Caenorhabditis elegans: one gene and its partners. The protein of the gene in region 3 interacts with the protein of the main gene of each other region in a biochemical or structural test. Each region holds a gene or a part of one and is shown on either strand. Other genes may lie near its edges. The genes, in order: frpr-8, dmsr-1 and flp-10.

Region 1 (3,758 bases), on a different chromosome or scaffold from region 3:
TTAAATAAGTATGAAATGAATAATCCACCTCTTGCTTTTTTTGCAGTTCCTATAAGTTCACGAATGTATTTTTCATATCCATTTCCTTCATTTTCAATTTAATTCGATAATTATCGTTATAGTTTTTAAGACTATTTTTCCGTACACAACTTTGCACATAATGACTATCTGAGTCAAGCTCACTTTTCCGCTAAAATGAATACGCAAGAATATCAAGAGCTCACTTTTAGAACTTCGATATTTTTGTTTTTCTTAGAGTGAATACATCTTCCAAAAATACATCGAATGTTTTTTCCAAGAAAATGCTCGTTTGAACAACGAGTGTAAAAATATGTCCTTGAGCTATGAATTATGAAATATGTGAATGGTCAACTAGAGCTTGCCAAAAAATATGAATTTTTTCTTCAAAGTCTTCAATTTAAAGTATATATTTTATCCGGAAATTACAATGACATCATGTTAATTTTCTTTTTTTTTAAACTTTTTTTCATTTTGGTGAGTGAGTATATCTACAATTAGAATGAATAAGTTGATCAAAATCGTTTGAAAAAATTTTATCATTGTATTATTTTACATATAAAAGTTAAAAATACAAAGAATCCAATTTTCAAACTCTTTTTCTAAACAGAAACAAGTCTTTATCGCTCTTTGATTTTGGTTTGGGTACAATATCTCAGTAAAACCATACTTCTTTAACTAATCTTGTATTTTGACAAATCATATTTAAAGTGAGTTTTCGTAAATTATTATTCCCCGTAATTGGAACAGGTTTCAAATATCAAATAACATTTCTTCAATCATCATTGCTTATTCAAAGAACCTCCTTTGTTTTTGTGAAAGCTACGTGATGATACCAGCCGTTCACGACTTTTTGGCTTCCACTTCTCCGCTAACATATTCATTACTGACCATGCAGTCCCCTTTTTCTCAGTAGTTATTCACAAATTCTTGATACTATATATAGTCGAACATCATAAAAATGACTAGTAGTATATTTCAATTCTGCTTCGTCTTTTCATTGATGCCCTACTATTTACCAGAACTCACTTTTTTGAAGCCATTTTGTAAGGCATCAATAAAGTAAGACTAGTTAGTCTTGAAGATCCAACTGTTTTTTTGTTTTGAAAAGAAAGAAAAACTTAAGAAATTAGTGGATGGTTTTGTTCAAAATTTTCGAAAATAAGTGTATTTTCTCCTAGACTTTTTGAAAGTACGAGTAACAAAAACGTATCTTACTGAAATTGTCAACTATGTGTTTTTGTTTTAAATTTTCACTCTTATCTTAGTTTACTTTCTTTTTCTTAACAAACCAAAACTCTGATTTTGAAAAAAAGTTCTCATTTAATTATTCGCTCGAATAAACTAATTACAAGTTCATTTTTGTGTTAGTATGTATACCATAAATTTTACTTCCTACTTTCTCCGAAGTTTCATATATATTCGTTTTGTTTTACAAGTTTTATATTGAAGAATTTAGTCACCTAATACCATTTTCAAGGATGTATGTTAATCGTTAAATTTGAATAGACCCCTACGTCACTGCTTCTTTTTTTCAACTTTTGAACTTTGGTTGCTCCGTCTTCGCTTTTTTGTTTCGTTTCAACCAAAACTCAATTATCTCTTAGTTAGAGCCTTTTTTCTTTCTAAAACCAATTTTTATCGTGTTCCAGTGTGTGCCACACCACTTCGGCCTCTGGCTATGAACTCGACAGTTATTTCGCTTCTTAATAATTCTACACTGGTCACTACGGATCAGCCAGGTTTTTCTGGAAGTACAAAAGGAACATGCAGCTATCCAACTAATTTTGCGGAGGTCGATTACATTAGCACATATATTTACCTGCTTGCCATTCCAACAATTTGCGTGCTGGGAGCCGGCGCTGCGGTAATGTGCATTGTGGTGTTCACTAGGAAACAAATGAGGTTCGTTTTATTGAAGAGTACTTGTGAGAGTATATCTAGAAAGGACTGAATTCGAATTACCTATCCACTTCACTTTTTAAGTTAGAAAATATAAGAGACGCAAAGAAAATCTGTTCCCCGCAACGAAAAGACTTCGAACGTTTTGAGAAAGGACGACGAAGTCACGTGGCTTACGGAAACGTGTACGAGGGAAACTTTTTCATTTTTCTGCGTCTATATCTTCTAACAAACACAGTAACGTGGATAGGTAATATGTTTAATCATTATTTCTAAAAAAATGAATATGTGATGCGTGTATATCTGTACCCCAAATGGTTCACAGGAAAATAATAATTTTTATATGAAAAAAAAACGATAGCAGTTTTTTTTTTCACAAATTATGTTTCTGCCTTTTTTGTCGAATAAAGAAGGAGTCTTGTCCAACAAGTAAATCAAAAATAAAGTTAGGGAAACACCAAATGTTTTTCCCTGATAAAAATACGCTATTTAGTTCTAAAAATAAATATTTATTAGCCTATATATTTATAAAAATTTACCTCACATTAGTCAAAAACGAGCTATAGCTTTAGGCTGCTATTCATTTCAAAAAATGATCAAAAACTATTCAAATAAATCTTTCAATTTGTTCTTGCTGCACAATTCAATTGAAACAGTGATTTCAAATTTTCTTGGCCCTTAATAAACATTTTAATTCATGTACAACTGACGACATTTTTATGATTTTTTTTGATTGTATTAATCTTTTTGAAAAATTAATGACATCAAATTGTTCCCCATTTATTTAGTTTTAATTTTCTTTGGTAGTCTGTTCAAATACTCATTTCAAGAAAAAAGAGCAAATAAGGATACATAGAAATACAAAATATTTTTAACTTCAGATCATCACTCAACGTATATCTTGCCGGATTATCGGTTTTCGATCTTATCCTGCTTTCATTCAGTGCTCTGATCTTTTCACCTCTCCAAGGTTGCGTTTTGCAGGTGAGCGTAGATAACTGGTTGATATTCAGTGGAATTTGTAATGAGATGAAGAAATGTCCATCAATTTATTCATCGATAAGCTCATAGCACGGAAAGAGAAATGAAAAAAGTTATTTATGATATTGAAGAGGGATTTAATATTTCTCAAAACTTCGAGTTTCATCAAGGTCTGAAATAATTTTCTAATGTCTTAGAAACTGCGTATAATTTATGTTTCCAGAAATATGAATGTTTCAGAACACCACTAAAAACAACTATGTTAGCAATAATTCAAATAAACTATTCAGGGTCACGGGGACACCGCGGTTTGTCATTTCTTCTGGAGATCAACTCCTTGGACGTTACCCATATCAAATATCGCACAATGTGGTAGTGTCTGGACATGTGTTGCAGTGACGGTGGATCGATTTCTTGCTGTTAACTATCCGCTTCATAGCAAAATTTGGTGCACACCGCGCCGAGCAACAACAATACTTATTGCGATTACGGTTTTTAGCATATTGTTCAAAGTAAGTACAAGAATTGTCAATTTTTTATTTTGTATTTCGAAATACACACAACGTTTTAAAGTTTCGTATCCTGACTATTATGGTCTAAAGTAATGTTTTTATAATATATCAAATTTGCATATTACGGAAGTCTGTTGCTACGATAATTGTAGTTTAAAGGTTTTTTAAAATAAAATTTCTTGTGAAAACAAACATCAATGCTATTAGAGTTTGTGACCCCAGTTTTAAAATCATTCAAGCATTCAGAATATTAAACATGTCAGCACACTGTTCATTGATAATAAGTTGATCACTGTGTGAAAATGTTCAATTTTATTTTAGAATTTTTAAAATATACATTTGCGT
Region 2 (3,758 bases), on a different chromosome or scaffold from region 3:
CAAGACAGCCATAATTCCTTGAGGTAATTCAGTCACTAGCATAACTGCTACAATTGCCAATAACATATGAGTTGTCCGATCGACACGTTCTCCTCTCCCCCGTAAGCTTCCATTTCTGCCTAATTTCTCGTTGCCTGCAACTGAAATGCTCAGTCTTTGTCCGTTTCGAGTAGTCGTTTGATTCGGTGGTCGATGTTGCGAGTTCTTGAGAAGACGTTGACGATTCTCACGCACTTCACGAAGAATTCGTAAAAGGAGCCAAACAAACAACGATAGAAGCGCACATGGTAATACTTTGAATACCATACCGGATATCCAATAAGATAACCGGAAGACCTGCAGGAAATTAGGAAATTGGTTTTTGCTAGGGTGACGATCACGATGATAAATATTATTTTGTATAATTTTCATGATATCATATGTACATATGATCGATCAATTATTTCCAAAAAGGTTTATATAAATCCAAAGCTTCAAAGTTATATTATGATGATCTTGCCAAAATTTTTAGTTTATAAATCTAAGTTCCAATAAAAAAGTTTTTCGAGAAATTTTGTTTGTATACAATTTGTCAAACATTATTTTTTAACAAAAATCTTGTTTTTTTTTTACTGAAATTCAAAAATCTTACCAGACAGCTGTTTGCTTTTGCAATGTCTGCAATTCCAGGAAGATACGCGGGCGAATTCCAGAACATTGGATCCAAATCGGTACACGTTTCATTCAATGGCTGTTCATTGATTTTGTAATTCAGAAAATTCGGTGCATTAAGCACTGCTACAAGGGATACAGTAACAGCAACGGCATAATAAGAATGCCTTAACGTCACTTGCATACCACCCATATTTCCCCTACTTCGAAGTGTTACATATCGAACAAGTGCAAGCATAACTGCAATAAAATCGAAGAGTTGGACAGTTGTCTTCAGAATGAAAAGCTTACCTGACAACCAAACACTTGAAGAATGTGCAACTAATGAAAGATGAGCATGAGCAATTAAAAATAACGCCCAAGAGTAGGACCAATGTTTCGGATGACAAAACTTGAAAGCGACAAATGAGTAATGTGTTGTGTATATTAAATTTGAAAATAACACAACTGTATCACAAGATGCCATTGCTGTCAAAATCATATTAACTGGCGTTCGCATTGTTCGTCTCGTTAGTACGACGATGTTACAGAAATTAGCGATTGTACCCAACACGCATAGAAATATTGATAAGTAGGCATGTATAGGATGGTAGAAATTATATACACTTCTGAAAAAAAAACGTTTAATTTCACTTTTTTCCACTTTTGCTCTTGAAATATTTATTAATGGCTCTCTTTTTTATGGTCATCACTTTTGAGGACACAATAATTTAAGATAAGATAACCTTCTTCAATAACTTGGTTTTATTCGCTATTTTTAGGGATGATTTCTACAAATAATAGGATAACTTTTAATGATGATAAACTGTACTTTTTGAAAATACGTCAAATACAACAGTACTGGGCAATTATTTGAAAGATTTTTGAGACACAAAAGTAAAACTTACACAAAAACATCGTATAAAAAACTTTTATCGGGCAGATGAATAAATGTAGTTTTGCATTCGGTAAACTCCATTTTGTTTGCTGTTCCTCTGTTCTATTGTTTCTGATTCTATTTGAACATCTGAAAAAAAACAACAATTTATTAATATTGAAACGTTGAAAATGAGGAAAACAAGCGTTCAAATGAAAAACGGCTCCGATTCGGAAAACCGGAAAACGTCATTAGAAATGAGAGATGACTATGAAAAAAATGACAAAAGGGACAAAGATTTGGCAACACATTGCTCATTCACTTTTTAAAACAAAAACACTCAAATAATAGGGTGAGTGTGTTTTTTTGGAACAAAAAAACTAACAAAAATATACTGCAAGCTTTTGCTCAAAAATCTAAGATAAACACCAATTATTGCCAATTAGGGAGATCTTGCAGATAAAACTTCCTTAAAGAAATCATTATTCAGAAATTGAAGGAGTTGCAAAATCAGAAAATATAAAAATAAAAATAGCACAGGAAGTTTAATGATTTTTTTACTGGGAAAATTAAGAGTACAATTGAAAAAAGAGAGCCAAAAAGTTTTGAATGAACTTCAGAAGGAATAATTTGCATAAACTGAACAAGATTAATACATTCAAAAGTACACAAATTTTCGGAAAAATTGATATGCACTATACCAAATTCATATTCACATTCGTTTTTTGATTAATTTTTTTGCCGCTACACAATTTCGGCAATTGAGCATGTATTCGATTACAAAGAAAATGTCACAAATTCCAGGCACTTGGAAAAATAAATTGATAATTATTTCTTTTTCTATCACTTGGAAGAAGAGTTGTTTTTAAATGCCCGCTATTTCAGAGAGACATCACGTCATTAAAAACCATAAACGTTACGCATTTTGAAAAATAGAAAATTCAAAAACCTAAATGGATATCTCAACAGCTTTTTGTCACTATTTCACTGTCTCTTCACTTCAAAACACACACATATATATATATATATATATATATATATATATATATATATATGTGCAATATCCGTATCTACTTCCAACCGCTATTCGATCACTAAAAGAAACTCAAAACAAGCCTCGCTTCCTAGTCCTTCCGTTCGCCGCCATGATGGGCCCAGTATCTAAGCATGGGCGGAATTTGTTGCTTTTTTACTCAAAAAAAAGAACCTTTTTTATGTTGAGCACGGACAGATAAACGCAGAGCGGGGTGCAACGCATCTCTCCCCGACAAAAAATAACATCAGAATATAACCAAATTTCGGTCAGCGCTCGGAAGTGTGTGAGGCGGCCTAGCGCGCTCCAACTCTAATTACAGAGCGGATAAGGTTTGGATAGATATTTCCAAAGTTAGTCATGTGTTGATCCGTGACCACATGTCAGGTGAGCACCCATTTCCGGAGTCACTTCAGGAAAAAAACTCATTGAGCTGACTCTCGTGCCAGAGGAATTTTTCGCACTTATCATTAAAGAAAACGACAAAAGTTTATGCTGAAAATGAAAATATTTGCCGGAATTCGGTTTGAAGTTACGATAAAAAAGTAAAAGGTACAAGATCAAACTCCACTGGCAAACATATCCCAAGTATTGAAAATTTTAAGCATAATTACTTTTGAGTTAGGGGAAGGAAAATGATGGAAGTCCGGTTAGGTCGGATTTTCCTATATTGCTTGTTAAATCATTTTTGTGTATTAAATTGTATTGAAAAATAGCTGAAAAATAAGGATTATTATAACTTCTCTTATTTTACTTTTTAAAATTATTTTTTGTGACGTCGAACTTTAAAATGCAACGCCAAAAGTTTCCACAATGCAATCAAATCCTTTATACTTAAAACATCAAAATCCAACAACATGTAAACATATTTACAGAACAGAAAATTCTAAAAATATTACAAACTTGTAAACAAGTTGATAGTTGAGAAGACCTATCAAGAAGTATGATACGAGTGAGAGTACAAAAAGTACCCACAAGAAGTATCAAACTCGGAGAAAAAGATGGAAGGTACGGGGCCAAATAAAAAAACCGACGGATGTTGAGACCGAGAAAAATGCAAATTCTGAAGCTAACCGAATTTGTGACAGTGGATGGGCTCTTTGCCTAACTTAAACGAAACTTCATGTGACCTTACGAATGACGCAACTATTTCTGCACATAAAAAGGTGACAGAAGAAGAAGCCGTAGGATAAACTGACCAAACTTAGAGAGATGAGG
Region 3 (3,758 bases):
TGTCCTTATAAAAAATGTTACTTTAATCGTCAGGACTGCCACCTCCTTTTTTATTTAGAGTACACACAACCCCCTGAAGAATTACTGTAGTAATCACAAATCTACACAAAAAAATCTTAAAATTTGTCTCTCTTATTTGATTATATAAAGGACGAAGTTTGGGGTTTCATATGCAGTTTAATAAAAAAGTCTTAAATTAAATTCAGTTGGTAATTTCGGCGGTCGCCAAAATTATGACTAGTTCGTTCTTGTACTGATTGAGTAGTTTTCTTGGAGCTTTAATGTTTAACAGATCTCTACTAAAGTTGTAAACGTCAATTAGTAGATTTTAGTGATTAATAATAACGTAATAATGTAATAACTGGGAAGAAATAAACACAAAGTCATAATAGAAGCAGATTCTTTCATCCATATTCACAATACCCTGATTCACGAACTCGGAAATGTTCTATTGAAATAGAGAACTCAAAGTCTTGAGCATAATAATTTTTATGATATTAAATATAAAAATACAACAAATCGTTTTATTCGCTGTGTATTTTGAAACTGAAAATACTGGAATGCGACAATCAAACAAAAAAGCATTGGGATGTGTTCGGGGGTCGATGGGTGGAGAAGAATTCAAGAGAAATAAAAGACGAAAAAGAGAAGCAATTGTAAAATTAAATGAATATAATTTATTTGGTGACATTTTAGTTAAAAGCGCTTCGAGATCAAATCTTCGTTATTAGAAATATGAAACGAATATTTTTCAGGTCAAGAAATTTGATGAAACGAAAACTTGACGACTGGTGGGGATGGTTGAGAAGAAGGAATTAATTGTTCAGTGTTCAATAATTGTTGGATTACTGTAACATGAGAATGAGAGACTAGACGAGACGCAGAGAAAGAAAGGGCGCATGATGACGTGGATTTTGTTGAAGATGATGAAGAAGATGATGAAAGAGATGTCGGAATGCCGGATTCAAATGAGAAGTTGGTCGAGATACAAAAGTTCTGCATTTGGATCGACTCTTCGTTTTCCGAATCGAATGTATCCAGAGCGTGCCTTTGGTTGACGCTTCTCCGATGCGACTTGACGACGAGCACGGGAAGCTGGAAATGGATTATTAAGATAGTTTTTACTCTGATCAATCCACTTTGATTGACAGTTTTCGGTTTTATTTTGTTTCTCTTTGACGCTGGGAAAACTCAAACTACAGAATATTATTCTGTGAGATCGCCTAAAAACAACAAAATCAGTTGTTTGCCAGTTGCAAAACTTGTAACAAACAAATCTGTGTATTTTACCCAAAATAGCTCGGTTTTTTATAATGACTAAGCCAGCTTGTTAAAAATTTTTCGAAAAAAATCTGATGAAATTGGAAGTTATTTAGTAAAGGAGAACTAACGATATTATGAAGGCATACTCAAAATGTTTTCAAGTGAACGAATTTCGTAGTGAAAATTCTCATATGCCCAAAAAAACCAGTAAATTTTTCTCATGGTTAAAAAACGCAACTTTCAATATTTCAGATTCTTACATGATTTTACTTTGACTCATTTACCGAAAACTGAGTGTATACTAGAAATACAGTTAAAAAGCTTACCATCGCTGATAGGAACAGCAAAAACAGCGGCCAAGCAGAGAACAAAAAAGACGAAAACGATGGAGAGTTGCATCCTTTGCTGTATGAGTTGATTGCCTAGAAAAGTGTCCATGATTCGAGAATAAGAAAAGATTTAGGCGTATAATTAGTGAGATGGGTGAATTCATGGTAAGGTCATGAGAATGAGGAAAGAGGAAAGAAAATGAGAAAATGTTGAAACGAAAGTAGGTACTCTAGTCTCTGAAGAAATGTTAATAATATCAAAAATTCAGCGTGCTTCTTGGTGGTCTTCTTTCATCTTTCACTCCTTCTTCATCACATCATCTTCGGGTCTTTTTTGATCACGTACTTTTGATGACGTGGCAAATTGAATTGTTCTGGTAATGTCTAACAAGGAAAAGGAATAATTGAACACTTCTCTCTACTCATTTCAAAAACAAACTGACCTTTATTATCGGTCATAAACGTTAATTGGATAAGAAAAGTGGAAAAAGAGAAAGGTGAGAGTAAAAGTGAGATCTGAAGAGGAGGTTATCCATTTTGAATATAAATCTCAGATTTCGTTTGAAAGATGAATAATTTGGATACTGGAATTTTTAGGTAATGCACAGGTTTTGAGGGCTTGGATCATAGGTGCGCGACTATTTCCATTCGACAATCGAATTTTTGGCAATTTCGGCGATTTGGCGAATTTCCGGAAATCTGAATTGCCGAAAATATAAGTCTGATAATTTTTGCGTCAAAATATTATTTCAAACGAAGACTAATCTATTATTAAAGAACAAGGCTGATTTTTTTAAAATTTTCTAACTTTAGTTAGGTTTGAAAATTGCCGAAACAGTCCGGCACTCGGCAATTTCGGCAATTATCAAAAATGTTCGATTGCCGCAAATCCGGGCTTAAATGTGATCACGTCTCGTTTGAGGATGGGGCTCGCGCGTGTATTTGATTTGTGGATTCATTGGCACCTGTTGTCAAACGGTATCATATACTTTTGACCTCTAATTGCAAGCTAGCTTGAAGTCATGACAGTGGTCCTGGAGGAATTACAATTGACACCACTTTACATGTAAAATAAATCAAGACGTACTCTTGAATTCCAGAGGTCTCTAACACTAAAACAACTTGAAAACCCCGAATTGAGTGGCCAAGATCATAAAACTGGTGTACGTACCAACAACTACCATCTCATAAAAATGGAATGAAAAATAAAAAATTCGACTTCAATTCTTTGCAGAAGAACACGACGGGCGGAGCATCCTCCCCTGCTCGTTTACAAGCTCCACCCCCTTCGACCCGAATGCTCTGTGGATGAATGATGACGTGGCAAGGGTGGGAGAGATGTGATAACTGGGTCACATCAAACACAAGCCTAATGTGTTATTTCCGTATCAAAGATGGAAAGAAAAATAGATATTATGATGGAACGCAGAATAAGCAAAGAAAAATACGAGAAAGACTAAAATAAACATTTGAAATGAGAACAAATGAATGTAGGAAACAAAACGAATATGGCGGAACTGATCTCGAGATTTTCCGAGTTCAATTTCGTGATTCTTATCAGAGCTGTGCGGCTCTTCGAATCGGGGAAAATCGGAATTTAATTCGAGAAGTAGACACTTGTAAGAAGTTGTATATGATGAGTAGACGAGATAAAACACTAGTCATTAGCCGAGTAATTTTCAAAAAATTTCCCACGTTTTGGAGATGTTCACCCAGGTGCCGAATCGCGAAGCAACACTAGTTTTTTTCCAAAAGTTTTTGTCTTATGATTAGCATATTTTTCCGATTATTTATCCTATGCAATACAAAAAGATCCTTCTTCTCCAACGAAGAAAAATAATTTTTCTCTATATGCATATAAATTTAGCACAGCTCTGAAACCTACAGTAGAGGAGAAACTAAATAATCATAGGAATAATTCGATCTCCGAGCTCTTGAACTCAACACTAATTGAACATTTCTCAACGGTTCAAGTTGTTTTTTCGATTCGAACGTTGTTGTCATGCTTTTCCGCCCTCTATTCATATCCACTATAATTCGATTTTAGTCTGCTAACTGATGCTGACGTAAAGTTAAATAGGTATCATAGCTCAAGTTTGATGATAAATGATACGATACGTGTACGATAAATGATGATACGTGTGATTCAATGACGCCGAGTTCTCA

Evidence for each region.
Region 1: the proteins of flp-10 (region 3) and frpr-8 interact in a test that uses a peptide from one of them, tested with the Caenorhabditis elegans proteins (one large-scale study listed by BioGRID).
Region 2: the proteins of flp-10 (region 3) and dmsr-1 interact in a test that uses a peptide from one of them, tested with the Caenorhabditis elegans proteins (one large-scale study listed by BioGRID).

What each region holds. Positions count from the first base shown.
Region 1 is NC_003284.9:8,696,118-8,699,875, forward strand, and holds the start of frpr-8 (G-protein coupled receptors family 1 profile domain-containing protein), read left to right. Parts: upstream 1-1,699; coding exon 1,700-1,923; intron 1,924-2,801; coding exon 2,802-2,904; intron 2,905-3,191; coding exon 3,192-3,413; intron 3,414-3,758.
Region 2 is NC_003283.11:11,436,669-11,440,426, reverse strand, and holds the start of dmsr-1 (G-protein coupled receptor dmsr-1), read right to left. Parts: upstream 1,658-3,758; 5' UTR 1,610-1,657; coding exon 1,539-1,609; intron 1,260-1,538; coding exon 943-1,259; intron 892-942; coding exon 632-891; intron 337-631; coding exon 1-336. UniProt on the Caenorhabditis elegans protein: G-protein coupled receptor.
Region 3 is NC_003282.8:7,866,834-7,870,591, reverse strand, and holds flp-10 (FMRF-Like Peptide), read right to left. Parts: upstream 1,686-3,758; 5' UTR 1,663-1,685; coding exon 1,590-1,662; intron 1,096-1,589; coding exon 965-1,095; 3' UTR 511-964; downstream 1-510.